Tribolium castaneum: one gene and its partner. The protein of the gene in region 1 interacts with the protein of each later gene in a pairwise test. Links are inferred from orthologs where the notes say so. Each region holds a gene or a part of one and is shown on either strand. Other genes may lie near its edges. The genes, in order: prefoldin subunit 3 and Pfdn4.

What was found.
Region 2: the proteins of prefoldin subunit 3 (region 1) and Pfdn4 interact in binary tests that used the Homo sapiens proteins (3 or more experiments, as listed by UniProt). The link is inferred for Tribolium castaneum from reciprocal best matches to the Homo sapiens genes VBP1 and PFDN4.

Annotation. Positions count from the first base shown.
Region 1 is NC_087397.1:4,268,576-4,284,889, forward strand, and holds prefoldin subunit 3, read right to left. Parts: upstream 6,418-16,314; 5' UTR 6,358-6,417; coding exon 6,277-6,357; intron 6,198-6,276; coding exon 5,800-6,197; intron 5,756-5,799; coding exon 5,665-5,755; 3' UTR 5,457-5,664; downstream 1-5,456. Other genes in the region: Tbcb (tubulin-folding cofactor B), read left to right, coding at 1-161, 214-430, 478-595; Tango4 (pleiotropic regulator 1), read right to left, coding at 886-1,077, 1,129-1,330, 1,378-1,877, 1,925-2,282, 2,335-2,450; uncharacterized protein LOC656577, read right to left, coding at 3,029-3,961; c-Myc-binding protein homolog, read left to right, coding at 4,619-4,639, 4,689-4,810, 4,858-5,143; S2P (membrane-bound transcription factor site-2 protease), read left to right, coding at 6,512-6,586, 6,631-8,019; LYR motif-containing protein 2, read right to left, coding at 8,074-8,292, 8,338-8,376; Sobp (sine oculis-binding protein homolog), read left to right, coding at 8,638-8,709, 11,246-11,378, 13,697-13,872, 13,919-14,779. UniProt on the Homo sapiens protein: Binds specifically to cytosolic chaperonin (c-CPN) and transfers target proteins to it. Binds to nascent polypeptide chain and promotes folding in an environment in which there are many competing pathways for nonnative proteins.
Region 2 is NC_087395.1:16,369,413-16,385,774, forward strand, and holds Pfdn4 (probable prefoldin subunit 4), read right to left. Parts: upstream 6,714-16,362; 5' UTR 6,578-6,713; coding exon 6,173-6,577; 3' UTR 6,002-6,172; downstream 1-6,001. Other genes in the region: ARL14 effector protein, read right to left, coding at 5,168-5,617; rut (Ca(2+)/calmodulin-responsive adenylate cyclase), read right to left, coding at 7,816-8,150, 10,002-10,239, 10,297-10,314, 10,377-10,503, 10,701-12,199, 14,770-15,098, 15,148-15,447. UniProt on the Homo sapiens protein: Binds specifically to cytosolic chaperonin (c-CPN) and transfers target proteins to it. Binds to nascent polypeptide chain and promotes folding in an environment in which there are many competing pathways for nonnative proteins.

The DNA of each region.
Region 1 (16,314 bases):
TTCTTATCCCTTGGACGATGGAATGAGACTACACGTGATTGACCAGTTTAATATACGCAATGAGCTTGATTTTGGAGATGTGCCTAAATATGAGTTACCCGAGGAAGAGTACAATAAAAAGACAGATTCAGTCAAGGCATTTTTAATGAAAAATAAAATGGGTAAATTGCCACCAAAACCCAAGATTTTCCAGAATAAATTGTAAATTTTCAGGGCAATATAACGAGGAGAATATAAAAAAGAAAGAAAAGCAAATGTCAGAGGAAAAACAACTGGCAGAAAGCACGCCAATTGGTTCAAGATGCAAAGTTACTGTAGCCAATGCTCCCTGCAGACTTGGCACTGTGATGTACACAGGGCCTGTTGAGACCTTACCTGGATATTGGATAGGGGTCAAGTATGACGAACCTTTGGGCAAAAACGATGGAACGTAAGTTACGACCATCAGTTGAAAAAAAATTCTAGCTTTTGTTGCAGATTTAAAGGCAAGAAATATTTTGAATGTGCTAATAATTATGGCGCCTTTGTTAAGCCACACAACGTTGAATGTGGCGACTTCCCTGAGGAAGATTACGACTTGAACGAGGAAATATGATTGGTAACAAGCATTCCAAATTCGCAAACGAATTAATTTATTGTTTTTATCAAATTAAAAATTATTTATCGTAGAGCATTTTAACCTTTACCCTCACGATTTTACATCTAGAAAATCGTAAGTTTTGTGCACTTCTGCGATTATTAATGGTCTAGAAATGTCAAATGGTTTGATTAATTTTCGGAAAATTTGATAAATAATGCAAAGTTGGGTAAAATTAAAACTTTTTAGTAGCTCATAAAATTTTATTTATTATTTTTATAAAAATACAAATTATTTTAATCATAGAATTAGAATTTCCTCCGTTTCAAAATATCGGGTTTCCAGTTAATCGGATGCGTTTCTTCAGTCGCAGTTTCATCCTCTTTGTAGATTTTGATGGTCTTGTCAGCTTCAGTTGTGATTAATCTTGAGCCAGAATTGTCGAAAATCATTGAGAATATTCCAGCTTCACTGTCCATTGACCCAGGTTGTACTGGGGCCTAAAAATGTAACATTAATCGATTGACTTCCTTCAAAGTTACAAAAATTACTTGTAATCTTTGGAAATTGTAACCGGTCCTCCAATCCCAGAAATGTAAAGTTCCATTATCGCCCCCTGAAACCAGGACGCCTTCTGGATTGACAGCGAGACAATTAACAATAGCATTATGACCGGACAAATTCTGTATGAATTTCCCGTCAGGACATTTCCACTGTTTTATGTTATCGGGTGAGCCCGACGCGAACATGTTCCTACAAATAATAAAATAATTACAAAAAAAATAATTAAACAATCGTACAAAGTCGGGTGGAGAATCACATCTCTAACGCTCTTTTTGTGATTGGTAAGCGTACAAATTGATTTCCCAGCTGCCAGGTCCCATAATCTGATTGTGGTATCATGAGATCCTGTGATAACTTGAGGTTCGGAGGCTTGCGCCACCACGCTAGCTACAGTATGCGTGTGGCCGGTCAAAGTGTGAACATTTGCTTTCGTCCTCATGTCCCAAACCCGGGCTGTTGAATCACGCCCTGCTGTTAATAAAACATCGATTGTGGGGTGAAGCGCTAGAGAGTATACAGCCGATAAATGGCCATGGTAATGTCTAATGACTTTGTTGTACTCCAAATCCCAACACTTGACCTGTCTGTCTTCACCGCAACTGAACAAATAAGGGTGTCTACTGCTCACAGCCAACCCTCTGACCGTGCTCACATGCCCAGTTAGGGACACTTTCAACTGCCCACTTGCCAGGTCCCAGATTTTTATTATTCGGTCCGCTGCGCCGGTCGCAAACCACTAACAAAAAAACGGTAACAAATTTGCTGCCAACAAAAATTTTATACCTCATTTCCTGGCTCCACCGAAACACACCTGACCCACCCCAAATGCCCCGCAATCACCCTGTATAGCTTCCAAGGGGCGTGCCATTTCGGCTTTGGCATTGTGGGGACTTTTTTCATTAAATTGGCGAGCTGGTTTTGTGTGTTATTTTGGACGCTTCGTGTCATCAAACTTGTGTCAGTGTACGGTACAACAGCCCCCTCGGTGTTTGGGGCCGCGTCGTCAGTGCGTGTGCCCGGTGGTGGGGGGTTTGGCCCAGCTTCTGCCTCCCGTAAGTGCTTCATAGCTTGCATTTTCTTAACGTCGTCAAAGACTAGGCCGTACAAGTCACGGGCTTTTATGGCTTTTCGCACCATTTCGCTATTTAATTCGTAATATTAAGGGCTGCTTGTTTTTGTGGTTTGTTACTCACGCTTTTTCGTCCACTGATGGCAGTAGTCCCTGGTTTGAGAGAAACATGTCGTGAGACCGTTTCAAGGAACGGAATACTAACGTATGTACGGAGTGTCTCTGCACGTCTTCGGTCATTGTGAAGACGAGTATTTAACTCCGGATATTTACTGAATTGTAATACTAGTAATTAATCTTCGGGTAAATAAACAAAATCGTACTTAACCTCTCTGCAAAAAATCACCAAATCCACCATTTGGTAACTTTTGGTTCGTAGAATAGACAGGAAAAGAAACTACTATTGACTCAACCGTGGAGGGAGTTTGAGTTTTTTTTTTTTTTAACCAAAAAATAGTTAATTTCCATACCAAATTGAATTGAATTTCTTATTTGGGTAGTTTTGGTCACAAAATAAAAGCACGCCAATTTTTTTAACATTTGTATTTTTCAACAATTATAAAAATAGATACGAGTTGTTTCACTTATAAATATTTCGTTATTAAGTCTACAATAAAATACATAGTTTTTTGACCACAAAACGCATCTAGTTTTTATCTGTACAAGTCCCAATGTCAACATTCCTGAGCCCAGATAAAAGCAATATTACACAAATTATTTACATTGTGAGTCGACTACAATAAAGTAGCTTTGCCTAGTGCCCCACTTTGCAGCGATGTGATTAAAAATGCAAACAGAATTATATAATGCAAAGAAACTTAATCCAACGGAGTGATCTTGACTGAAGATCCGCGAGATTTGCGATACCTTTGAAAGTCTCCTGCCTGGTAAGGTAATGCCCTCATATTACTTCTATAATATGGTACATCATACGGAGATATGTGTAATTGATTGATTGGTGGTGACCGATTTCGCCACAAAACCGCCAATAAAGAATAAAATCCACAAATGGTATTCGAAATTAAAGTCATAAAGTTGACAATAATTGGGGTGCAAACCCTGATAAGTCCTTGCGTTTCACGCAAAAGTTTCAGGAGATAGTCTAGAAGGTACTTGATGGTGTGTATCAAGAAAGTGATCAGTGTTGATAACAAAAGAACCATAAATATGGTGGCTTGTTTAATGTTGGGCCAAGTCAAGGTTTCAGTAAACAAGTTCCTCAACTGATCCTTGAAAAACTCCTGAAATTTTGCACCCAATTCACCCAAATTCTTCTGAGAAACGTCTTCAAAAATCTGAGTGGGAGTTATATTATGAACTGGAGTCTTCTCTCTGACTGGCCTCACAACTTCAAGCTTGACTCTAACTTCATTGTGGAAGAATTCAACGTTTTTGATTTTGTACCAAAAACTCCCAAAAACCTCTTCGTCCAGACTCACCCACAAATTGTAACCTGCCGGGGCCCCGATTGTTTTCGGCTCCGTGATACCAATCCACACATTTTTGGTAAAATGCTTCAAGCAGCGCTTCCTCACTGCTTTTAAATTCGCAATAAGGTCGTGTTCATCGTCGCATATTTTAATTACATCGCGGTACGAGTTCAAAGGTTCAACCAGCCTTTTTTCCAGAAACGTACCGATAAATAGGGAGCTCTTGAGCATGTGTTTTGCAAATTTGCGCACTCTTGTCTCCTCGTCATCGTCGGAAAGGCTTGCAGACGAATTTCGGCTGATTTCACTGATTTTTGTCATTTTTTACAACTGGGGTCTTGACGTGTTTCTAAGAACTGTTACGTAAGAACTACATTTGTGTACTTCCCCCAGTTACTTACGGGTGCTGAGTTGTCCAAACATAACAGATCAAAAGAAAAATACACTTATTTGCAACATTTTATTTACCAACAACTGTCACTTTTTTGACGTTACGTGACCCAGTGACATCTGTTAGGTATTAATAATAAATTAATTAAGAGTTTTACAACAAGACACCAACTTATTTTATTCAGAAACTGGTGTAAAACATTAATTTAATTAAAATGGTCCTCGTAAAGCTTGCATAAATTGTTAAATCAATAAATTGAGGAATGTTTTAAACCCGGCGCCGCACATCGAGTAACCAGTTGCCCAATGCCAGCAACCTAATAACCGCGAACGTTCCCAGTTAACGAAGTTTCTTTGAATTTGTGTTGTTGACGAAAACGCTGTTTTCAGCGTTTTATTTTATAATTTCCGTAAATTTGTTAATTAACCCGTTGAAAGGTGTTGTGACAGCTCCTAATTTGTCATTTTACCCACACAGTGTCAAAGCTCACCCAAAACTTGATACTTGAACGGTTGCGAGCCACAAATTCGTCCAAATCTTGTGATTTACACGTGTACAACCACCCATTTATTTAGCTGTTTTGCGAAATGTCGAATCCAACTTTCAAGGCAAGTTATCCGCCCCGACTTACCCTTTAACCTCAACTTTTCCCACTAGCCGTCCGAGGGAAAACGCGAGGAGTTCCGTAAGTACCTGGAGAAGAATGGGGTTATGGATGCCTTAACCAAGGTCCTCGTCAATCTTTACGAGGAGCCTGAGAAACCCGAAGATGCTTTAGAGTGACTATTGCACAATGTTTTGCCAGGAGTTTGATTTTTTTATTTAGGTACATTCGGGACCGCTTGGCCATGCAAGCAGGGATCGAGACCTTCGCTCAAATGAAAACGAAGATAGATGAGTACCAGGCCCGCGTTGAGGCTCTCAACCAAGAGTTGGAGGAGCTGAGGATCAGTATGGAGCCTCCAGCTCCGGCTGACGAGGAAGGCGCTCCCTTGGAGGAAGGTTTTGAGCCAACTGGGGGCGACGAGAACCCGCCGGAGGAGGCAGCGGCCGCGGCGGCGCCCTCTGAAGAGGCCCCAGCTGAACAGCCTCCAGAAAACGCCGACCAGTGATGCTCCTCTTTGCCATATTATACATTGTTTTTTATTTTTAGAATTTTATTTTTGTTCCTTTTATGAATTAATTTTTAGTTTGTTTTAGAATTGTGAAATTTTAAGACTTTAGTCGGTCTTCACATTGTACTTAACTCAACCTGTAAATTAATTCAGGTGATGCCTTAACTACCATTTTTGAGAAGCACTTTTATGTTCGTATATTGAATATTATGTGGACTGTTATTTGCAGTATTATTTTTTCATTTATAAAATTTTATGCACTTGGCAAAAGAAGTTTGAAGAAACAGTCTGTGTTTATTAGCAATTAAAGTTATTTCCTTATTAGAAATAGTTTTATTCACAGAAACGGGTTAAATAAAAGCTAAGTTATTAAATGCTCAAGCTGGAAGTAACATGTGATTTACATGCACTGTAAAAGTGCGAGCGCGAAAATATATTTTGCAAAACTGGACGATATAAAGCAGCAGTGACAGATCTTGTAACAAAATTAAAACAGTGCTAAATGGTCACTTGGAGCCTCATTTTGCCGCTGCTTTCGCAGCTTGGCGTCTCTTCACGTCCCAGTTGAACACTCTCGCCATATTGACCTCGGTTGTCGTAAACTGATCCCTGAAAATTGACTCAGCCTAAAGTAAACCCCAACAAAGCGTTACCTCAAAAAGTCGAGATCGTGTTCCACATATTTTAAATTCTTAGTAGCTGCAGCAATATTCTGCGTGAGCAGCTCCTGAGCATCTTTTAAACTATATTCAAGCATGACATTGGCCCCCAGCCACAGGAACACCGTCTCAGTTGGTGGCACTTTAGCTTTGGCGAAAACCTGTTCGCTGAGCAAAAACTGAGTCTCGAATTCGTTTTTCTGTTCGCCTAGTTTCTCAATCATCGTTAACGAACGCTTCAGCTCGGGGACTTGGTTCTGGAGCCGTTTTTTCTTCGACAATAAATTATATTCCATAAACTTATACTTGGCATGTTGGTTATCTAATTTTTTCAACACTTCTTCCACGTTTTTGTTGTTTTCGGGCCGCGCCATGTACGCATCCACATCTTCCTGAGACAGGAAAAATCATAAGGTCGGGATTGAGGTTACGTTTTTTCGAAAAACATGTGGACGGGGTTTCGACACTTACGACAAATTCGGCTTCGGGGATTCCAGCGTAGGACTTTTTGTCTCCCAGTTCTGTGTTATTTTCCGATTCTGACTGTTCCATTCTAGTTTTTGCAAAATTTACCCACTCCACCGACTAAACAATTGAAAGTTTGGTGGTTTTTATTTTATCAATTCGTTGCGTTGGTAGCCACCACTCTATTATGTGGGGTTAGGAAATTTAATAATTTTTTGAAAAATGAGTTAAAAACTTAAAAATGGACTTGATTTTTGGCTTAATGACAATAGCGGCGATTTACTTATGGGTTCTCTTCATGGACAGGTTTTTTAAAGTAAGTCGGAACACGTTTAGTGCCCTTAAAAACCACAATTTTAGTCATGTTCTCATTACGGATACATCCAATTTCTTAAAGGAACGGGCCTGGAGATCAAATTGTTCCAGTTTTCGTGGACCACGACAGCCTTTAATAAATTGCTGCTTAAGTGGGGCAGTCACAACACGAAATTTCTTAATTTGTGGTTTAATTTGGGGCTATGTGTGAGTTTAGTTTTGCTGCCTGCTTCGATCTACCTATTGTTAGTGGCTTTCTTCCAAAACTTTTTGTCTTCGGCAAGTGGCGAGGAAAGCATAATTCAGCCGGTAGTCCCGGGAATAAACCTTCCAGCATCCGAAATGGGTTACTACAGTTTAACTTTGCTAATCAGTTCGGTTTTGCACGAGCTAGGCCATGCGTTAGGGGCTGTGCAAGAAGACGTAAATGTGATCAATGTGGGCGCCAACGTAATTTTTATTTTGCCAGTGGCTTACGTTAACTTAAATTCCGACAAATTATTTTCTCTAAATCCTTGGAAAAGACTCAAGATTTTGTGCGCCGGAGTTTGGCACAACTTGCTAATTGCACTCGTAGCTTACTTACTCTACACTTCTCTACCGTCCGTTTTTTCACCGTTTTTCAACTTTGGTAAAGGAGTTGTGGTAACGGAATTTGAGGCAAAATCGCCAATTTTCGGAAATAGGGGTTTAAATGTTGGCGATTTAATTTTGAAAATTAATGATTGTGAGGTGGACGATGAAAATGCGTGGTACAAATGTTTAGTGGCTTTACGCACAAAAAAGCCCGCGTTTTGTATTGAGGGCGACGTTGTGCGCGATCTGGATGAGAGCGTTCATTTGAAACACTCCGAAAGTGGGATTGTAAGCTGCTGCCATTCAGAGAATAAAGGCAAATTGTGTTTTGAGTACTTGGATAGTAAAGACAGCATTTTGGAGCTGCCCCCTTACGCCTGTTTGCCTGGAAGACCTGCGATCGAAGCCTCGACAAATTTCTGCATATCTGACCCCCATGTTTGCCCCAAAGATACTTATTGTTTCAGACCGATTTTAACGAATAACACGAATTTGTTTAAAATCAAGCGAGTCAACAAAAACGACGTTATCTACATTGGGCCCGTGTCTGATCTTGTGAGGACAGTGACGGTGTCCTCATACGTCCCAAAATATTCGTTTTTAGGGACGCGAATTCCCGATGTTACTACCAAATTTCTAGGGTATTTAGCTATGTTTTCAATGGGGCTGGCTCTAGTTAATATCTTGCCCTGTCTGTTTATGGACGGCCAGCACATAACGAACACTTTGTTCCACATAATATTCGCGAGTCATTTGAGGACCACTCATATCAAGATTATTTCAGGCGTTGTGACCGCTTCTTTCACACTCTTGTTAGTGATTCACTGCGTTATTGTCATATGGACTAGACTTAATTAAATTGTTGAATAAAACCGTTTTTTATCTAACAAGTGTATTCATTTCAATCACAACCTATTTTGCCAAAGAAATGGTATTTTCCAGTTCCTTTAAACACCTTTCCCCGTACTTGATGTACATTTTAATAGTTATCTCATCCGTGTGATGAGCGTTGCTCCTGAAATCACGTCTTGCCCATTCCTTCAGCTCCTGCTGGTGCCCCTGATCGGGCACTTGCCGTATAGCCCTGAAGATTTTCCTGTAAAGATTCTTAACTTCTTGTTTCAAGATAAACTAAAATATAGGAATTATTCAAGATTTGGATATGAAACCGATTACGTGTTTCAAGCTAAGGGCGGGTTTTGCAATTTTGGACATTACACAATTTTGGGGTTGGTTTTGGTGCGCTTGCGCATTTGGTAGACTTGCGCGTTTTGAATTTGAAAGTGTGGCGGGAATACCCCACTTCGAGTACCAAAATAATCACAACATTATTGAAAAGCTCAGCTTGTAGTTCTCATCGAAATTTTCCTAGTGGCGCAGTATTAATGTGAAAAGTGATTTTGTCCGTCATTTATTGAGTCAGTAGTGCGTTTTGAATTTTTGGTTTTGGCCTTTTTGCACATTTGGTTTTCATTTATGGAAAAAAGTGGCGCCGAAGAAATTGCGAAAGTTACGATTAAAAAGGAAGTGCTTAACGATGATATAAAGGTGGGTTCAATTTTGCGATGTTTAATTAACAAGTCTGGTTTATTTTAAAAGCATACAGATTTACAATGTCGATTTAAAAATAGATTTCGTCATTGTTGATGTGTTCGTTCGGGAAAGAGGGGGCCAGAATGTATCCGATATAATATCATAAATATACATTTTATTTATATTTTTTTCTTGAGCGTTTTGATTATTTTTCGTGTCGATTGTGTTAAAATTTAAATGCGTTGTAGGCTTGAGCACGGGCCTAACATGGATGTGTAACATGAACGCGATACCTGATATGGGGGTATCAAATGGCAGATGGCGTGCAACTGATACCCATCAGCCAGACATCGTAAATACACGTTATTTTATATCCTTGCATCTCGCTGGATATTCCGTTGATGCTCTACAAATCATACTTCTCAAAACATGTTTATTATTTTAATTTAAGCGGCTAACAGACAAGCAAATAACCTTTATTTAAACAATTACCCATCATTAGAGCTGGCCAAATAAACATTTTTCCTTTACAAGGATCCCAATCGCCGCTTCACCTCAAGTTACCCACACTGCTACCAGTTTAGCAATGCCATTATTACCGGAATCAATTTTTCAAAGTTCAAATTCAAATACAAAAAAAACTAAATTGTGTTTGGAACCTACTAACTAAAAATCTTTATTAATTATATTTTATGTTATTCATTCAGTTGTTGCAAAAAAATAGTGGAGCCTTCAGAGACAGACTATGGAACAATCATGAATTAATAAAAAAAAATTCGTATGTTCCCTAAACGTACATCAAGCTCCGAAGGTGGTCTGTTTGATATATTTAACAATTTTGCTTCTTTATATTTATTATAACAAATCTTATAAATTGGCTTACAAAAAACTAGGGCACATATAAACATATCTCTCTGTCAATCCATTCTTGAATCTTTTTTTTAATTTTTTTTTCTCAAATATTTTTCTAAAAACAAATCGTGGGAGTTGGAAAAATGTAATTTTTTTCTATCAATATTTTGTTTGTAATACGTATTTGTAAAAGCTTCTGTAATTATTTCCATACATAGCAAAACTGGGTTCATCTGGTATAATAGATCCAAATTGGTTTAAAGTGTCGAGAAAAGAGATAGAATCGAGTAGAGGAAAGATTAAGTTACAAGAGCATATTTAAGATCGATACTATCATCAGGTAGTAACATTTTCAAAATGATTTAAAAAAAAATACGAAGTAATTATCGTAGAAAAGGTCAGAGGCAAAATCGCAGCACGTTTGCGGTTATTAACTGTTATTTGTTAATTGGAAGGCATATACATCTGTCCAAAGGCTTTTAGTTATTCAAGTAACATAATTCCTGTATTTATTAGATCGAAACTAAACCCCCTCAAATTTTGTTTATGTAACACCGTATTTTGCAAATTAGTATGTTTGAAAATCAATCCGATCTTTCAATTAATAAATCTGTGCAAATATCGGATTTCAGGTTCCGAAATACCATTATGAATCAGTAAAATAAAAATCCATTAATAACGTGTTCAAATATTTTTCGTTCGGTTTTATCTCATTTTCGTTCTAATGTTACTTTTGGTGGATTCGCCGCTAACATTTCAATAGGCGAACTCTTTGGCGGCAAAACTGTTCTGTCTGTATAATTAGAGACATTTTGAAAGTTGACACCACGGTGTCTGTTTACTACGCTGAACCAGCTACGCCCTCTTCGTCTCTTTAACTCCTCCGCAGAGGTGGGTATCCTGTTTCCATCAGGCTACACCTATATGTGCATTATGTACTCGTACAACTACATTAGCTGAATAAATCTAATCGCTATTACACAAGGGTCTAAAAATTACGCCATGAAAGCCATAGATATGTATTTTCTAGATCGTAATAAATTTATGAATTAATTACCCTTCCGTTCCAACGGATTGAATTTCTCGGCTTCAGCAACTGCATAGTTTTCACTTTACTTACTTTAAGTTACGATTTTTTAGGTATTCACCAGGTGCATCTAACTTCCTGTTATTTCACCTATAATTGAGACTGGAATTTAGGAAAAAAAGTTAAATTTTTGGCCGTAGGCCCGTGCCGTCGGTTCGCACCTGGTGAAGTTGATTCGCCTCGAAGTGGCGTTTGTTCTCGAGATGGAGAGACTATCGTTTTCACAAACTGCAACAACTCCTTATATTAAAACTGCATGTAGAGTGCGAACATGATCTGCAGGAATGAAACCAGGGTGTTTTATTTCGCCTTCTCTTAGACGAGCATCGGGTAACTCCGACTATTAATAACCACTTCGTTTAATTAAAATAAGCAAGCAGACACCCTCCTGTTTTGCATTTTAAGAAACAGCTATGTTATTCCGACGAGTGTGGAATAAAATTCCGTTTTAATCGCTGCTTTGTCACGAGATGGCAATGTTTTATGGATTTTTTTCCTTGATAAGATTTTATTAGTAATAACACGAAAATGTTTCCAGGCTAATTAACAAATTCTAAAGATATCTGCCGGTGATAAAATTCTCGTAAAGGAATCATTGTTCATGTGTTGCAGGAATTTGCTGAAACAGCCATGAATGAGCTCCTAGGCTGGTACGGATATGCCAATAACAATCACAGGGATGCACGTGCTTGCAAGTCGCATTCCGGAAGCAACAGCTCCGGACCCCCGTCTCCCAAATTCAACGGTAATTGCTTTACTTATGTATGTGTCAAATTACCATCATTTTCAGTAGCTGGGCTTATAAATATGATTTTCTAAAATCTTGCAACAAAACTGCTGAAAATGTAAACGTAATTCAAGCTGTAATTTAAACTTCGCAAATGGTGTTTGAATTCGCTATGTTATACTTAGATTCAATTATTACGTTTTGCGCGTGAAAAAGCTCTAATGAGAAATACAGCTCTGTTTCACCTGAAAAACTTACGATTGTCTATGTTGTGGTGGAAGAAAATTTTCAGCTAGTTTTTATTTCCACATTATTGCGAAATAATAAAGCTCGAATTTTTAATTTAAAAACTTCGAAAACCAGGTTTTATTTCATCAGACCTCATTATGCTCAATCAATGATCGTAATTACAAGAATGTTAATCAGTATTAAATTCCTCGTTAGAATTATGAATATTCAAATTACATGCGCCGACCATTCAATTATTTTGTTTTTCACCGTGCATTGAATGCACCCAGAGTTATCGAAACTCCCTAATTGTCATTTCCACATTTATCGATGAAATGAAAATTTGTGACTGCAATATTCGTGATAACTCCTGGACCTCATGCAGTTTCTAAAACATAATCATTTGTGACACCTGTATAATGCACGAAGCTGACTTGTATGCATGTTGGTGGGCGCAAAAAGGGCACATTGTGTGAGCCGCTGAACGAATTTCCTTTGTGCGAATAAGTTTTATCGATAATTTCCTCGAACCATGCTTCAGCATGTGTGCTATTCGTGGAATTCCATACCAATCAAAATATTTCGAACCTTCTTCACGCTTTAAAGTCCACAATTAATATCAGATTGATGAAAAGCTTTCATTGGGCTTTGCTGCAAGGGGTGGAGTTCCCGGAAATACAGTGCCCAGCACCGTCGCTATAATTAATCAAAAATGCCCCCGTCATTTGGTGGGTGTCGAAGGGTTGCGGAATTTTTCGCTTTGAGGCGCATCTGAAAGATAATCCGAGCGGCTATTTCGAGACGGTGTAATATTAGCCTGCACACTTTTACGCCAACTTTGAGTTATAGTATAGGGAAGGTTCATTTGATCTTTGGCCACGTGCGACCGAATCAAAACATCGCATTATGCGGGATTTTACCAGAATTAAACCGGGAAATGGTTTATTTGCTTAGGCTTTGAAGTTGCTCACTTTCGGCATTCGACCCTTGCGGCGAATTATGCAGTTATTTTCATCGCTAAATAAAATGCTGCTGTACTACGCAAAAGAGTGAGAGTGGCGGAGCTGATGCTCGTTTTGGCTCAAACAAGGGAAATTTGAGGGAAATGGGGTCAAGGAGGACTGTGTTGGCTGAAAAGTCTCATGATGAAATTACTCCCAACATATTAGGCACGCGAATTAAAAACTTTAACACTTATCTACACTGCAACTTATTTTTAAACTACACTAAATGAGTTTATAACCTTCTATTAAAGTTAGGACTGCTAAAACTTGTCCGTTACCTATTTAAGTTTTTAGCGATGGAGAATAAACTGGAAACAGTCTTCCAAATGCAACTAATTCGAAAATATTGTTTGTTTGTTGTTTGCTCATTATCACATATCCGGTTGAAAATGTTAAAATGGTTTTTACTCCACTAACAAACCAGTATTTTTACAATTTTGGCCATAAATATTATTTTAAATAAAACATTATTTTAAGCTTTTAGCATTATTTTGTTAAATAAATCATGTGGTAATTAGTATTATGAAAGTTGAAAAATAGAGAATTACTCTTTAAAACATTTTTTTCTTTTAACTTACAAAATATCATGAGACAGTGTGAATTAAACAAAATCACCCCAAACGACATGGGATCCGTACGTCTATGCAATTTTATTTATATTCATCGAATTACATGTGTTATCGCTATTATCTGTAATAATTTTGAAAAATTAATGAGCCGTAAGAATCTCTCTGAAGAACAGTCATGCGGAAAGTTATTATTTATGCCTCATCCAAATGCTTTTTTCAGTTTAGAATAAAATGATCAGCTTTAAGGCAAATAATTCATCGTGATAGAAGTCTGAGCTATAAGAGAATTAAATAAAACATTTTTTGCTATGGTGATTTTTTAATCCAAAAACGAGCGTCCCTGCTTTACTTTGTGATCGTGTTTTAATTACAATTCGCAATGTGGAGCTCCTTGTGCACTTTTACCGCTTTTATATTCAAAGCCTCGACAAATTAGATTATGTTTTCGATATTTTCATCATCGAACTTTGATTTTATTCGCCTTTGATAAAAAGCTTTGACAATATTTAAGTTCCTGGCAAAAACTCTCTTCCAGAGGGTTGCGGATGGTGCGGCAAAGCCGTCGACGAAAACACAGGCCTGTCTTCAGCAGCTGCAACATTCTGTTCCGAGCTGTGCTTCTCCCAGTCACGGAGGGCCAATTTCAAGAAAAACAAGACATGCGATTGGTGCAGACACGTCAGACATACGGTTTCGTACGTCGATTCCCAGGTAGTAAATTCAAACCACTAGCAAAGTTTACAATTTTTTATTTAAGGACGGGTCATCGCAGTTGCAGTTTTGTTCCGACAAATGTTTAAATCAGTACAAGATGCACATTTTCTGGCGCGAGACGCGGGCCCACCTTGAAATGCACCCCCACGTCCACGGGGAGGAGTCCTCCAGTGGGACTCTGATCACTCCCGATTTATGGATGAGCAAGTGCAAGTCGCCAGAAGTGCAAGTTTCGTCGCCGAGTTCATCCCCAAAACTGGGGGAAAACTCGCAACAAACGTCGCCTTTGCCACTGATCACTGTTGCACATCCCTCCAAACTGATGTCAGTGCAGGAAGCGGAGCCCAAAAGACACCGAAATAAAGTACAAAAGAAAAAAAAGAGAAACGTTAATTTGCCGAGCTGCACTAGCACGAATAAGACTTTCTCGAGTGATATGCCCCAGGATTTGCGGATAAGACATACCCCCACTGATTTCGAAGCCAATAGACTTAATTCAGAGGATGCTAATAAGACACAGCCAGAAGGGGCCTCCAGATTGAGCCAAACACAGTATTTTTGTAATTCCGAAGCTGCAGCCCATAGAAAATTGATGGATAATTTAGTGCCACCACCTACAATTTTGGTTCCTTATCCTCTTATACTGCCTCTACCGCTTCCAATTCCCATTCCCATTCCTTTACCTTTTCCAAAGGGTCTCTTGAATAAAGTTAGGGACGATGGCGGGAAATCCCAAGATGCGTCATGTCAGACGGGAGAAGAGTTAATTTCTAGTCAAATTGTGAGTGAGAAGGTTGAAGACAACACGGGAATAAATAGTATTAGGCCTCTTAGGAAAAGAAAACGTATTGTAGAGAAAAAATCCAAGTTTCTACTCAAGAACAAGAAAATACTGTCCACTTGAATATTCGTACGCTTATTGGAATCATTTTCGTATCTCTTCTTTTGCTAATTTGCTATTGTACATACATATCGGTATAAATAAAATTAGTAGAAATGTACACGCTTTTTTGTAACACGCAAGATAAAGAAGTTAAATTAATGTAGAAAATATTTTTCTTTGATACTTCATGTTTTTTCTGTGTTAGTTAATGTAATATTTTCTTTCTTTTTTTCATTTTAAAAACTTTGTGACTAAATTTTGTCCAAATCTCTTGAAATGAAAGAGTTTCTGGATCACAAACGAGCTAACTTGTCCATAATTGTTTGAAATAACGTTATAACATTGTTTGATGATTTTGTAACTTGTGAACACAAATAACTAAGGTTCTGATTAAAAAAATCGAAAGCGGCTGATAGTGTCTGACATAAGAAATTGCCGGTAGTTTTAAAAGTTTTAACTTGTTGCAATCAAATCATCAAAAATACGAAGAAAACACATTAAAATAAAAATTTATTTTTCTACAAACTGTATTTAAGTATCGTTTCTTATAGAATTATAGAAACACACTGGAAAAATTAACATTATAGAAAAATATGCTATAAATTATTCAATTGTAAGCGCTGTGTGATTATTATAGTTTCTGACGTACGGTGAAAATACTGCACTGGAGAGAAATTTTGTGGCTGGTTTTTAGTAATTCTGGCTCATTGTGGGTCTCTCAGGGTATTCACCGAAAATCCGACAAATTTTCATTTTGTCGGTGAACAGAATACAAGTTGAGGTAACGCAATAAAACAGCATTTTCCAACTTTGCACTTTAGTGGGTTGCAACTGAACTTATTCGTCGTTTAAACTTCAGCAATAAATTCTTTCTAAAATATCTCTCCTAATAAATTAAGCCGTAAAAATTCAATGTAATTTGATGGTAATTCACTATTTTGCGCTGGTTTGAGGAAGACTCGATTAATTCATTGAACAGTGCAAGTTTAGTGTCTTTTGTTCACTTAAATTGGGTCAAGCTTTATAGCGCGAACATTTTTCTTACCTTCACTTACAAGATGATCTGCTGCGAACAAGAGAATCCACTTCATCGGGAGACTTACTACAGGTTTAGCTCCTACGGGGTTTTATCGGACGACAACAAAATGTTTATTATGATTGGCGAGATGGTCAGGGATGTCAAGGACTCTCGGAAAAAAATTATTCGGAGGGATGATACAATCGGAATGGCCATACGATAAAACTCTTATATTATATGAGCCAAACTAAACAAATTTGTATAGACGAGGTTTTTATGAACCACAAAAAGCGGCCAGATCTCGAATAACGCAGTGACCCAGTCTGGGAAATTACACAAATTGGGGCTATCTTATTCAAATTATGAAGAAAGAAGCGAAATCATGGAACCAACTAATTCATTAAAGTACACCAAGCAAGAGCTGGACAATATTAACTTAATTAATTGAGTCAACGACAAGCATTATTGTTATTTCCAACTGTTATGAGAAAGGTTCTCTTTGTGCAGTTGTAAGAAGTAAAATGAAAATTAATTAATA
Region 2 (16,362 bases), on another chromosome or scaffold:
AGACGAGGCCGCAAACATGTGCACATTTCAAACAAAACAAAAGTTGCGCGGCGATCGTAGCACACTTGCTCGCACTATGTTGGCATTTTATAAACTAAAAATTTCAAACGAGTTTTTGCCCCCTCTCGACCTACCTGGAAAGTGGCGGCCAATAGAAGGGCGAGATTACGGTGGCAAATGCGCGAACTAGCGATGGAATGTTGCGGTTGGTCAATGAGGAAGGGCGACCTCTGGGGGACAGGTAGCGGACTAAGGGGGTTTAAACAGGGAAATGCATTATTTATGAAATTGGACGAGGATTCATTCACAAAAACGAAATTCGGAAAAAAGCCCCCATAAGTGATTTATTTGTTAGTTGTGCATGCATATTTACAGCGTGTGCTAGCGAGTTAGTAACATCCAGAAAAATTACACAAAATCTTGGATCTTTTTGGCGTTGAAACAAAACTAGGATAAGCATCGATTAAATGATCAGATCCAGAATTTTTTTTCTCCAGACGTGTGATAACATCTTTTTTTCTGTAATCCGAACTAATTGTTGCAACAGATTCTTCAAATTACATATCGTTTTTTTTTTGGATTCTTTAATTTTTTTATCAAAATGGATCAACTATTAAATACAGGCTGATCCATAGGTCTGATAATAAAGCACATGGAATATTTGGATTTGTATACAGAGTGATCCAAAATAAAATATATCCAACTAAGTTCTATTTTTTTTTTATGAAAACCCCGAATTTTTGTTACATATTTCAAATCTCGACTAAATTGTCGGTGTAACGCACCCTGAGTTCTTAGACTTATCTGGCATATTTTTTCATTTATGTCAATTGATTCGGCAAAATAGCGTCATGTATTCAAGATATCTTAACCAACTTTTTTCCAATCGATTTAGTGCATCTTTTACAATAAATGCGAACTTGGAGTCGATATTCCATCGCCTACTACGATTTTCTGAAATTGACAAACTACAAATGGCTATCACTCGATTTTTTTTAATTTTATATTTTAAAACATCATTAATTACATGAGGTTTTTATGATCTTTTTATCGATGGGGCTGTGGGGTCTACTTGTAAAATTTGTGAACACCTCCATACCATTCTAAAAACAATATCTTTCAATAAATTGTGAATTGTAGGTATAGAAACAGAAGTACACCACAAAGGAAAGAATTTTAAAAGCCTTTATAATAACAGGGAAGTATGATTGACAGGGAACTATGTAAAACTATCAAACTAGTAGTAGTAGTAGTACTAGTAGTAGTAAAGACTACTATTTTTTTCCTTTGTTATATACCCCTGTTTCTATTACAATTTACAATTTGTTGAACAGAATGTTTTCTGAATTGTATAGAAATGATAAATCTTGGGACAATGGCCTACTTGATTTTTTTTCCGAAAAAAACATCACTTTTTTTATTTTACAATAATTTTACAAATTTTAAACCCCACAAACTTTATTTTAAAATGTGGTACTGCATTTGAAAAAATCTCGTTATTGCCATTTGTAATTTGTTAGTTAATCGTAGTAGGCCAGGAGATATCGACTCCAATTTTGCAACTATTATCAAAGATGTACTAAAGCTTAAGAAATTGATTGAAAAAAGTTGGTTATGATGTTTTGAATGGTTCTGAAGTTATTATACATTTTTCTGTCTGTCTATTATACATTTTTTCTATGAACGACGGTATTTATTGTCATATGTCAAACTCTATGAGAGACAGGTCTAAGAAACCTGGGTTCGTTTATCGACAATCAAGTCGCGATTTCAAAAATGTTACAAAAATTTGGAATTTTCGTTAGAAAACAAAACTTAGTTGTGTACTTTATTTTAGAACAATCTGTATACAAACTGAAATATTTTTAGAAGGTGCCTATTGTCAGACGTATCTAAAAAATGAAGTCAATATCTTGCATAGAAAAAAAGTTACGGAGCTTCCACGAAGTCCTGGGTGTTTTTTTATTTTATTATAAATTATTTTTATAAATTTATTTTTTATAAATTGACATCTATTAAGGTCACTCACAACTATAAAAAAACAAAATACCAAAACTGAGCCAAAATCGTAAAATCTACTTTTTTACATTTGAACGATTATTGAACTGTGATCCTTTTAAAAACATAACTACAGATTTGTTATTGTAAACAAGCGAGTTATTTTTAATTTGAAATAATGAAAAAAAAACTTCTTTCTCGTTCTTGCTTCAGTAAACAAAAAATGTACCTAATCTTCTAGCTGGACACTGGACAGTGCTACGCTTAATCCATTATTCATAATTTCCACAATAAAACATTTGTAATTTAAATATTTCTGATGGTTTGTACAATCATTGAATAAACTTCAGACGTAATAAGTGATTCGTGGTGGATGATTATCACTATCATGGTGTAATAACAATTACCAACAATTAATTAGTGTTAATGTCACAAATTTTTGAACAGCACTGTGTTTTTTAAGATCTAAAGGTCAGCAGTGGACTTTACCAACTCATTGGGACACACAGTATCACAAAAAGGAATGTCTCAAAGTGTGCCTATTGTACATAATTTTAGAATCTGACGCTGCATAGGGATTGCCTTAATGCAAAAATTAAAAATTATAACATTAGAGATGAAAAAGGTGGAAAGACAATTTTTTTGTTACTACATTAATTGTCTTACAGCTAATTTAATTTACAACCATTTCTGGAAAAAAATTCCGCCTACAAAGTACATAACGAAAGTTTCCTAAAACGTATCACATTGCATCCTAATTTTAACTACTACAATAATAATTTCTAATTATAGTATAGCATATAGTTACAGGAAAAACAGATCACTATTTTACTTATTCTTATTACTTAGTATTTCGTTAAAGTTTTACGCTTCATTGAAAATCATATCTTGCACACTGCTATCAAGTCTCGATCCAAGCGCTAGTTTAATTACTAATTATGTCTTTAAGAGTTATAGGTAATGAGAGCAGGGAATAAATTTTACGGTCTTTAAATCTGTAAGCTTCTTAATGTGACATAATAAGCTACCCCTATTATATTACTACCGCTTATGGCTTCCTGTAAAGCAAAACCGATAATTTAGTGCTGAATTCAGATTAATATTTTTTTTTATAAAAGTGCTCGTAAAAGTAACTAAATCATTGGGACTTTCATAAAATCGTTAATGTATCTATCTGTGTGTAGGCAATATGCATTTAAGTTAATTAATTCTAATTGATACTTACATTAAAATTTTAAAATTACCTATGAAGTCATACCTACTTATTTCTAATTTAGGACGGATTCGATAAGAGCATTTTAAAACCTACCTATTTTAACCATTTACATGTACCTACATACATTTATTTAATTATAAATAAATAAAAAATTAAAAGTGTAGTTTCGTCGATAAGACTCATCCTATTGGTACTAAATTCATGATGTTCAAAGTCCAATTTCTTAACACAAAAATTATATTTATTTCGAGGCTTTTCCTCACTTTTGCGTCTACAGGGAATAAAACGGTGTAAAATACACAACTATTTTGTTTCATTCTTACCTCCAGTTATCATCCTGAAAATAGGTTTAGATATGAAATTAGATTCTTTAACTGATGATTATTTAACAATAATTAAAAGCTTTGCAAATAAGAAATAAGCACAAGAAAATGCGGGTTTTTGTCACTTCTGGCAATCAACTTCGACCCATAGAAAGCGTCGTTATGGAAACCCTTCAACAATAACACAGTTTCATGCTTCACATAAATTTAAAATTTGTGAGGATCGAAGTTGCATTTCATGAAGAAAATTTAATTTTTCTTCCTGTCCTGGTATAATGTATTGAGGAGAAAATTAATTTAAATTGCATTTAAACTCGTTGGCGGAGCCGAGTGTTTGTTTTATAATCTATTGTTTATTTTTAAGTAGCTGTCGAATCCCACCACATTACGTTCTTCTCACGCTTCTACTTTTTAACTTGTTTATAGTGGTTTCTTGGGATCAAAACGTTAAATTAAAAACCGTTAATGCATTAACGAAAGATAAGAATTATTTATGAATTATATGAAAGGAAAATGTTCCGCCCGCCTTGATGAGTTCTAGACGTGTGTGGTATTTTGATAACAGTAATATTTTTGTTTATACAATAAAAGTGAAGAATAAATCAAAATGGAGGAAAATAATTTGTTATTTTGGTTAAATCAGAATGTAGTAAAAAAGTGACACGTGACAAAAATTATGTTTTTTGCTCAATTAAACTGTTTACTTATTTGCATTTTAACACACCTGCTTAATTGGCTTTGCCGTAATTACTATTTTGTGCATAATAATTACACATTACACCAGTTTCTTACCTACATTTCTTGAGAATCATTTCATGAGATACATAGTGCTGAAAAGTGGAGTAAGTATTAAATAAATAAAATGCAAAGAAAACTTTAGTCTTCGGAAGGTGATTATTCCCTTAGATCAGTACAAGGAAATTAAATTTTGTATTTTACTTATTTTTCAACCAATGGTTTACTTTAAAAAAATATGCAAATATACTTGTCGCCTATAATGAATAAATCGGTCGATTTTTTTAACTAAAGGTTTGGGGTGAAGTTGCTTTATTTATTTTATAAAAGATTTTTTTGTTTATACAAAAAACTTTGAAACAAATCAGTAAAACAATTTTTATTTATTGTAAAAAATGTGAAATTGCTTTAAATGGGGAGATTTTACCAATTTCAAATCGACCGAGTACTACTGTGATTTGTAGAGGCAAACCAACCAATTAAATGTTGTTGACTTGATGTCATGCGTTAAGTGTCAAAACGACGGTAAGCGAAATTTTAACGAAAATGTAAAAATTGTAGCCACTTTTGAAAATGCCTAAACGTTGAGTTTTAGTACCAAAGAAATTATTTATGTTAATTTTTAGTTTAAATAAATTTCTACCGGGTGACTATAAAAAATTGTTTCTGTATATGTATCACAACTATACCATAACATTCAAACATAGGGTAAATAAAACTGCAACATAAGTTTATTATTATTTATTAACTATTATAATGTAGTCAATAGAATACAACATTTTAAAGAACACAAATAAAATACAAAATATAGACGAAATCACTGACAATAAATTTGATATGAACGATATTACAAAATTCGCTAATTCTCAATCATAATCACCGAAACCCATAAAGCTCAATTCCTAAATAAGGGATTCTTCACCACAATATCGTACCCATGGTACTCAAGCTGATCATAGACATATTTCCTATGGACACGGCAGTCAATTCCGCATTTCCTTGAGCCACATTTGGGGCATGGGAGAAAGCATCCCACGCACTCTTCACTCAAGCAATCGCAAAGATCAATGCAAGTGGCGATGTGGATTCCATTCTCGTCATAGAGAGCCCCTGGTGGCCTCCGAACGTTGCTTGGCGGATTGATTTTGCGATTCAATTTCCGTTTCTCGCGAATGCTAGTCTCAGGATTAAAATTTTCCAAAAATCGGTTGGCTACCGTCAGAGTTTTCTGGGACCCGGGGGTTCTGATACGGCTGGGGTAGGGTTTGGGGTTGGACGTCGATTTTTTTGCCACTCGGTGGAGGGACGGCCGGGGCTCATCCTCTTCGCTGCTTTCACTGCTCATTGTTTCGGTTGTGACTATTTTTTAAAAGTTTTTCTTGTAAAATTGAATTCGAAAAAATACAGCATAACCTCAAAAAACGAGACAGTTGACAATTGTTTTGTCAAATTGGCGCGAAGTCCGGTGTACACGTATCTAATACGTAAATTGATGAAGGGGTGACTAAAAAATTGAATTATTGAAATATTTGTGTTAGGTCACTAACAGATTAAGCAGAAAATTAGTGTTTAATTGTAGATATTATAATTCACAAGATAAAAAACAATTCGCGTCTTCTTGACAAAATCAAAATGGCTGTCTTACAGTCAGGCGGAAAAATTAAACGCCACAAATTTTACGAAAAAAACGATGGTTTTTATGAAAATACAGAAAAAATAAGAAACAACATTTGTTAATTCATATTTTATTACAATCGTTATTACACAAAAATCTTTACTGGCAACATGGGAATGACAGTAAAGTGACAAAATGTCAAGCAACAGTTGAAATAATGTCACAAATTAGTAATATTAGGCGTGAAATTTCTAAATAAATACCAAAACGTTCCGCATAAATAATTTATTCCTCTTCAGCTTCTAAATTAATATGGCTTCCAAATTTTCCGTAAAGATGTGATTTCAAGTCGCTCATTTGGCTTTTTACATCATCTGATTGGCTTTTCAATTCCTTGATGTCCTGATCAATTTTCTTCTTAGCATCATCGAGGCACTGCTGTGTGGTTTCAGTGTCTTGCAGGATAAATACTTCCCCTACCAAATAAGGAATTTTCTCCTCTTCATCAAATAACGCAATTTCGTCACATGCTTCTTCCAAACTTTTCAGATCGTTCTCTTTCACCTTAACTTCTTCTTTAAGGTCTTCAAGTTTGGCATTCAAACGTGCAAATTTGTTAATTTTTTGCTGGTCTTCGTAGGAAATGTGGACGTCAGAATCCGGCTGAAATGTGCCTTTGCTCCCCGCCATTTGTATTAGTTTCTAATGGATTTGTTTCCCTTCAAAGCTAGATAAAAGGTTTATAAATGTAATTTCTTGTGATACACTTAATGGAAATCAGATGCAAAAAATAAGGTTAGGTTACGACAAATTGACAGATTAAATAATTTACAGGTTTCTGTAATTTGCGAAGTTTAAACCGGCTAAATTTAAATTAGTTACACATCGTGAAAATATTTTTTGAGGGTTTTGTAATCAGTTGTTTATTTTTGTATTTAATTCAACAGTTTTTTTAAGTTACTTCAAATTGTGGAAAACTTGACAAGCTTAGAAAAGTGCACCGAACAGGGCATAAGGTACAAGACAGAACCGGACAGAGTCACTTTGCCGAAGGAAGTAAAAAAAAACGCAGTTTTGATAATGTATTTAGTTTACTTTTATAAGCATTTAATAAATCATTAAAAATTTTCCAACACATATTATGATCAAATTTTAGTCTTTACAGATAATAGTAGAAAATATAGTTACAGAAAATAGGAAATACAAAGAGAACAACAATAATAATAAACACCAAGATCGGATATTCGAAGAAAATAGAAATATTTACAAACCACCAATATATTCAGTGCTACATTTAGAAATGGTGATCACAGAAAGAAAATTCCATTATAAATCCGGTTTAAGATGGAATTAACAAATAATACATCTGATGTATCCTGTAACAAAAGTCGTACGTAAGAGAGAAAGAAAGTGTAAAACTCAATTTAAGTACACCAGTAATTTAGAATTACTAATGATATAAACTATATAATTAAATACAAAATATTGCATCCACGATGGTAACAAATAAAATATGTTCCATAAATAAATAAAATCAACTAAAACAGGATTATATACATAAGAGACGCCATTAGCAAGATTTATACAAATTGTTGAGCCACTATTTCCCGTTAAGTAATAAAATCATCATTCAATACACAACAAAGATATCACTAATGTAAAAAATTGCATTCTTTGGTTAAAACCAACTACGTGGGTGATATCCAGCTTGGTAGAAAGCTGCCTAATAAAAAATCACAAAGTATCAGTCCCTTCGCGCTAGAAGCACCATTGCGATCTAGTCTAATATCAACCAAAATACGAAAAAGTTTTGATCAAAACCATCTAACGAGATAATCACCCTCCGATCTTGTAAACGCATCTCTAATCAAATATAGTACATTCAGATTAATATCGTCTATTCACCAAATCATAGAAAATTTTAGTCCCTAAACATCACTATCTGGATCCGTTTCACTTCGAGGCTGTCCAAAGTTTCTAGTAATACTCTCACTCATTGATCGGATATTTGCGAGATGAACGTCATTCGCAGGCACTGAAAAATAGTTAAGTCTGTCGAGGTCAGGTACTGCATTTAGATCGTCATCAGTTCGATAGCAATTGTCGTATTCGGAGTCATAGAGAGCACTTAGAGAATCCAGAGACATCATCGCGTCCGAGTCGAAGATGCGCGAGGAGGCGCGCGACGACATGCTGGTGTTGTCGTCCATGTCGCCCTCGTGGTTGTGGTCGTTATAAGCAGAGTTCACGTCGCTCAGGGCGCCTTGAAAGTACACCAACAAATTATTTTCTCTTGCTGCACCCACAAGTTCAGATAAAGTTAAATTCAAACTTGACAAAACACTGCGGATAATTTTGCTTTTAGAAGCTTGTGAAGTAGTATTTTTCATTAATAGAAAGGCTGATAAAAACAAAACTCCAGATTAAACGTTAAAACGTACGAACCTACTGACTGTGCCAATTAAAGTATTGTAAAAAACAAGCCTTTTTTTTGCAAAAAGAATTATTAGAGCTGGCAGCAAGACATACACTAAATTAATTATAGAAACAAAAGTGAAATAAGGACACGGCATTCGATGTACAAGTAATAAAAGTAATAGAAAATAAATACATTTTAAATTGGTCAAGTTGTAATATAAAAATATCTCAATTAATTTTGAATCAAAAAGTAGTTTCCTTCAGTTATTTCTGAGAAAATTACTCTTATCTTGAGCTAAAGCATAGTGATTTTGACAAAAATAATTCATTTTTCCTCAGTTCAGACCAGACGAGACGCTTCTGGTTTCTAAGAAAATCTTTTATTGACTTTTTTTTATAAATTATGTTAAAAAATGTATGAACTACGACACAAAATTTTGCCTATACCACAATCTCTTTAATGGAACAAATTTTTCGTACAGCACGTGGCGTATTTTCTGATTATATCATGAGAAAAAATAATAAAGAAATAAATAAATAAGAAAAATAAACGTTTCTATCGTTGTTTTCCACCAAGTCAAGTCAACTAATACTTTATTCAACATATTCGTATAGTACCTAATAGAACAGGTGTACCAAAATAAAAAAGTAATAATAAATTTATACTCATAAGTTTACGGTAAACCCAAGAGTTTGTTGTTGTTTTTTAAAATCTTAATTCTTAAGTTAAAGTAGGTATAATAGAACACTTTTATTTCCTAGTGTAATTTGGGTGTAATTCTCTAGTGTATGTCGCTCTTTGAACAATTTTGCACGTTACACCGGCGAAATTTTAGGAATTTACACTAGGGAGTGGACGCTAAGAAACTGGACGACTTTTATGTATTTTTTCAACTGGGCATAAATGTTAAAGAAGAATTTATTTTCTCCTCAAAAAATTCCACATATCTACACGGTCATTTAGAGTGACTGTTTCAGTTGATAGCTCGAAATTTTATTTTTAATATTTAATAATAATTTAATAATATTACATTGTGCTAAAATCAAAATATCTTCGAATCTGTTAGCAACTGATCTCATCATAGGTTTTTTCCTAGATAAACCAATACACGGACCAAAGTTTTTGTGTCATTCTGCATGTACAAAGAACAGATTATTTGGCCAGGGTTTGTCTTATGATGAACATGATTTAATAATTTGTGGTATCGTAAATAATATGTAAATGTTTCATAAAATAAAATTTTATCCTCCTTATTCTGAATAATTATGTAAAGGTCCCAGATAATTCACAAAAGATAAGTCAATTCAAACGTCTTTCTAATATAAAAAGCATGATTCTTCATATAAATCTAATGTTTCACTGCACTTTTAAATAATCTATCCATCAAACGTTGTAGTTCTTTTAAAATTTGTTAAAAATTACTTGTTACTTTTGCAAGCTCGTCATTTTACATTAATCAGTTGATATTCAATGTCAATAAGCCTATCTATTTTTGAATAAACTGTCAATATTTTATCCAAAAATGATTAAGTACTCGAAATTGCGCTCATATTTTCTTTTGGAAGGACAAGCTCAAAGAATTTTGAAATAATGCTTGTTTTTTATCTTAAACCGTATTCGCAGCGGAAATTGGTACTGATTTTTTGCTTCCAAAAAATGTTTGCTAACTTGTGCTGGTGGAAATACCTGACTCACCTTCAGCATCCGTGAGTCCAGTTTCGTTAATCATCGAAATATTCTCCAGCGCTGGATCATCCGTGGTATACCCCGTCGATTCCCTATCATTCAAAAGTGGCTCAGAAGCCCCCCCGTCCTCATCCTCCGACCACTCCGACTGGCTTCCCTCCGCCCCTTGACTCTCCAAACCCCCATTTTCCAAATTCCTCAACTTTTCTTGCACTTTCTCCTCCAACAGTCTCTTAACTTCCTCCTCCTGTAAGCGCGATTGATACAAATTGTTTAGGTAATTGTTAAACATTGAAGATTTTACCAACTCTCGGTCCACAGGCTGCTTGCCACAATCACCATTTTAAAATCAAACAAATTCAGCAAATTTACCGAGTGACTCACCCTTGCTGCTTCTTCCTCCATGCGTTGCTCCTCGCGCTCGAAGCTCTCAAGATCAGTGTCGTCGTCTCTCTTGTGAACTTCCGGCATATCACAGTCAACATCGGCTTCCTCAGCCGACTTCGGAGCTCTACCAACACCAGAAAAATTATTTTCGCAATAGGACACCTTATTCGAGATTTTGCGTCCCAGTGGAACGTAAAATCTCGAATAGGCTCGACCTGTGCCAGAAATGTACGTGACAAAGCATGAAGTGCGAGCAAGCAGCATGAGTGTTAATGAAGCTGAGTGAGGCTAAAATGAGACACGATGTTAGTGTTCCTGTACCTGTCAAGAGGCGACACTTTTGGCTGTTTATGGGATTCGGACGGTCCTGGGGACGCTCCCCGCTTAAGCGATCCCTCTTTGCTGCTTGCTCTGGGAGGGGACATGCACTGGAGGGTAACACTGCCGGTGGGATTCACTCTCAAGCCTAGAGCTAGGGCCTGGATCGCCGCAAGCCCCACCTGGTGGTTGTTATTGTTTGGAGCGTACCTTACAAGCGGCTCCAAAGCCAGGTCTTTGTTCTGCTGGTTCAGCTCGAACTTTGGAGGGATGTTCTGGAGGAGGTTCTGCTCGTCGAGCAGTTTCTGGATCTCGCGCTCAAACGGACCAATCAGGTTCTCGTTCTCGGTGTTGTTCACCTTGTTATTGGGGGAAATCTTGTCGCGGAAGCCGGACGGTGAAGTCTTGAACCGTCTCAGGTCCTTTTTATCCGTCTGACAACAGCCGTCTTTCTTCAAACTCTTTTCGCCAAGGTTACGCGTTTCGTCCTCCTTGAGTAGCTCGCGGATTTCTTCCGCCTCTTTGAAACTAGGGGACCTTTTGCAGTTTGCCGCCAGTTTGTTGCACTCCAGGACCGAATCGCTGTCGTTCCGTATCCGCTTATCGAGACTTTTCTGCTTGATTGGAAGTTTTGAAACCGCACCGTTGGCGCTATTTGCTCTTAACAGTGAAGTTGGTTTGGTTTTTGGTCGAGTCACAAACTCAAAACTGGCACAACTCTCCCCTTTACAACTGTCTTCGCCGTCGAGAACCGGCGGACTTGTCACAATCGACGAATCAACGGTGTTACAAGTCCCAGCAAGAGCCAGGACCGCATTCGGTGGTAGATTATTCCGCTTAGTGTTGTTCCGATCACTCGAACTGTTCCTCAAGGAACAATTCGCTGGGATATAGTCCAGTGACGCTCTTGGCGACACCTCCGGTGACGAACACGGATTAACTTGAATATCCGACGGGAATAGGAACTGTTGAGTGTCTGCAGGAAGTGGCGGAGACACACAGGGGGAGGCATCAGCGTCCGTTGTCCTGCTGTAGCTCTCGTCCGAGCTGCTGATGCTGGGCGAGTGGTTCAAGGAGCTGATCTCGTCGGCCGACGAGTGGATGCGCTGGGGGACGCCCGTGGTGTACAGCCCCCCTAGACTCTCGTCCGAGTAGTGTCGCTGCAGAGGGCTGTGTCGGTTGGAGTGGGGGCTGTGGCGCGAGTGCAACGGACTGTGTCTGTTTTGAAGGGGGTTGTGTCGGGTTTGGATTTTGTTACGGAGGAGTTCGGGGGTGCGCTCTGGGATGTTTTGATGTGGGAGAGGTGTGAGGATTTGATGAGGGGGTGGGACAGGGCCGCCGGAGCCGCCGTTGTGATGTTTTCGGTGGTGGCGGTTCGGGGACTCCTTGCCTGGGGGCTTGGGGAGCGGTTTGAGGTAGGGTTTGATGTTCTCAGATGGTCGCGCTGGTATTGCAGAGTAGGGATTCGGAGCTCGAGGCCACGGGGGGGTGTAGCGCATGTCCTGCAAAAGTACGCTAGGAGGAAAGAGAATTTGCGAGGGGAAAAGCTAGCGTCTACTTAAAATAAACTTTCCGTTGAAAAGTAGTACGAAATCGTTTTGCGTAACAAAAAAAACGGTGCCATAATAGATAGTTATACCGAGTGACTATAAACTAATATTGTGTCAAAAAATCCATAGCCTTGCTGATAGTTTGTTTAACAGGGACATTTTTTTAACTCTGAGCATAGTCCCAATGTTCAATTTGACAAAAAACACATCAAACCTTTCGATGTATAAGATAAGTCACCAAACTTACTACGATCATTTACTAGGGGTCGGTTTCACCAACCCCAAGAAAATAAAATACCAATCCAATAGGGTTACTTTTTAAAAATAGCGTAAAGCACATAGTATTGGACAGTTAAGCAAAAATCTAAACTAATTATTACCGTGTTCTGAATAAATAAGATAAATAAAATTTCCCGATTTCAAACTAAAGATTGAATGAAATGTGTAGAAAAAGGTAATTATTACGCATTGGTTTAAACTTTATTATTATTTTTTATAGCATTTTTCTTTGTTAAGTGTAAGAAATGTAGATATTGGACGAGTTAAACAATTACGACGTAACCAAAGTACGTCATTCTAAATAGTTTTAAGAGTTTCAGAATATATTATAGAAAATTTGGGAAGAGTAGTAGTAGAAAAAGCACACAATACAAAAAAAGGTCTTTGAAAAAAGTCAGCGATAATGTAAGATTATAGGAAAAACTGTATAAGTGGCTACGTTTTTTGAAAAAGAAAAACTTCTTAAGTTTGGTGACTTTAGAAAAAACTTTTTCAGGTTTATTAACTTAATTTTAAGAACTATCTTGCATTTGTAGTGATTGAAAAAAATTAAGGGTATTACTGAGTTTAAAGAAAATCAACTGATAAAATTCATAAAGTTTTTATAAGCAAATTATATATTTTTTACTGATTTGTTTTTACAAATCAACAAAGTATGACAACAAATGTCCCATGTGCCCCTGTCAATAACAATTGTCCTTTTTCAGAGTTTGGAATTAACCAATGTTTTTTTTTCTTTTGAAGAAATCTCAGATAGGGGTGGGAAAATTAAGGAGCTCCAGGGCGTTTATTTATAAACTCGTAATACCATCTGTTCAATCTATCACTATCACTTGGAAAAAATTAAAAGATGGTCCTTATACAAATAATTGAAAAAATTGATGCCTATATTACTTATTACTCGTTAAAAATTAGCTTCGTTTCAATTTTATATCTTTAATTAGAATAACGAAGTTGATAATACTTAAAAATTTTGCAAAAATGTTTTGTTTGAATTTAGTTGTTCAAGAAATGAATTTCAGCGACTGGACCTTAAAAATCTACCCCAAAAAAACGTTAAGAGGCGCTGTCGTAACAAGATCATTGAAATAGACAAACCTTAAAACTATTAGTTATCTCAAAGATTATTTTTTATTGGTGACGCTTTATCCATATTCTTACACAAGAATTATTGTCGAGCCGTTTAATTTTATTCAGTTTGTTACCTGCTGTGGTCGCGAACGGCCTCATAAATAAAATCAGAATTTTGTGGTTTAAAAGTCTCAAATTCGTTGGCTAGTGAGTGTTAGTGTGTGCTACTAGGATGGATTTCCAGAGAGTACTTCCGTTGTAGAAAAATTATATTAAATCTAATATTTTTAATTAATTTAATGGCACATTGTAAGTACATTTTTTTCATCCCGAAGTGAGATGTTCAATATATGCTATTATTGAAATATTATTTTAAATTTATTTTTAATGTACTGCAACAAACTGTTGCATAAGAAGATTCCTAAAAGTATATCCATTTTATTTTTTTTTATTTATCGCAAAGTGAGAATTCTTTTTGTGTTTTATTTTGTATTTTATTTTACAAACCAATAATTCCTTTATTCCTTTGGTTTTCTAATAATCACTGTTTAGTTCATCCTGCCCTAGATTCTTAAATTTATTTTTTGTTAAAAAGAGGACAAAGTAGAAAAAATAACATATGACATATTTCCTTTATAATCATTTTGTCACACTTACTTCTTTCTTTTAAACAAAATGTAAGATATAGGGTGAGTCAATTATGGTATATTATAGATTTTTTTTAGATGCAACCAAAAATACTACCTACATTACGTTTCATAAAAAAATGAATCTAAATTATAGTATAATTACGAACACGCTCACTTTTTCGTTTGATTACCTAGTAATAGTACCTAACAGGCCATGTTAAAACAAAATTGTCAATACATACTTAAAATCACGCACTCGCCAATTAATTTTTATTTTATTTAATAACGCAGTCAAAGCTGGAAATTGTTTTTTCTTTGTTTAATCCAAAAAATCAGAAATACTCCACAAATAACACCTGTATTTTGTCAAAAAAAATCAACAGGAAACACTGAGTTGTTTTAGCATTTTTGCTAGTAATCTGGAATGATTATTTAATTATTATAGTCGCCAGATAAAAATTTCACTCGGTACATTTTACTGCATGACGCAAAACAACATTTTAAATAAACAATGACGAAATGAGTCACTTTTATTGCAAATACCTGTGACGACTGCCTCTGCACTTGCTGATAGGAATTTTTATGTGGCGGCAGCGGTGGCGGCGGCAAATTCTCCTCTTGCACCTTCTTCCCGTTCCTTTTGCACCCCCCAGCCGGCAGTAAAGGCTCATTCTCACAGCCGTTATTCCCATGGTCTCTATGCGGCGCCTCCCTGAGCGGCGGCAACCTCATTGCATTCCTAACCCCGCTGTAGCTGTCCTCCCTCGAGCTCGACCTCGTCTGCAGCTGCGGATGCTTCGTCCGCCCGTTCATCTCGCTGTGGTGCAGGAGGGCCAAAGGGGTGGCGACGCCCCCGTACATGTTGCTCGTATCTGCGAAAAGTCGCTCAAACCTGCCGCCGACCGCAGACTGAACACTTACTCGACGTGGAGTTGGAGCGCAAACTGTTGAGCTCTTCCACACGGAGCGTCCCCGGCTGCTTCCGATCGATGAGGAAGTAGGTGGTCATGTCGCCCTTTCCTTTGACTTTGACCTTTCCGCGGCATTGGAACTCGTAAGGGTAGGATTTGAGCACTTGGTAAACTTCCTCGGTGACTTGGGTGTGGTTTGGCAAGCCTGTGGAATCCATACGACTGGCCACGTTCACTGTGTTGCCCCAAATGTCGTACTGGGGCTTCCGGGCGCCGATCACGCCGGCCACCACGGGGCCGATATTGATCCCTGCAATTGTACGAGTGCATTTTAACGTTAAGGTTGAACAATACTGAGAACGTGTGAAGAGGAGCTGTGTGAACGCAAAATTTGAAATGGAATTTTTAAGAAAATTTTTAAGAAAAATAAACACAATGGTTTCTTTTATTCAATTTTAAATTTTATTAATAATAATTATATAATAATAACTTAGTATTTGTCCTTGTTTAAAAAAAATGTTTTCACCGTCCTTTTAAATTTTCTAGTAGGAAGTGAAGCGATCCTATCGGGTACGCTTTAAAAAAAAACGGACCGTATTAACTTACACAATCTCTGCTTCTAGTTAATCTCATAAATTTAATATCAAATTTTTTCACCAGATCTGGTGTTATGATCATGTGAACTCTTTACTAGTCCATATTTATACTCATTTCTTTTAATATAAAGAAGATAATAAAAGATATACAAACTGAGTAGTGATAAAATATTTAATTCCTTAAATTTTGATCTTACATCATCCCTATAAGGCACTCTACTAATTATTCTTAATGTTTTTTGTAGTAGACGAAAAATTTTACTAGCAGAAAGAGCATGTCCCCAACATAATATAGCGCAGGAGGCATATTATATTATTAAAACATGACGTTCATTTTTTAAGACTTGTTGAGAATTAATTTTTTCTAAGCATCGTAACAATAAAATACTTTTGGATATTTTATGTAATAGTTGCTTAACATGACCTGTGCAGTTATTTGAATTTTTTTAATGTCTATTAACACCTAAGAATTTTATTTTTTCTGGGATTTCAAAATTTATATTACGAAGTGTATTTAATAGTATATTAAAGTATAAGTGCATATTGAGATTTTTAAAATACGACGGCGTAGCCGGAGTGCTCGAAACAAAGTAAGTGTTTTAAAGACCAGTTATCGCTGAATACTTTAC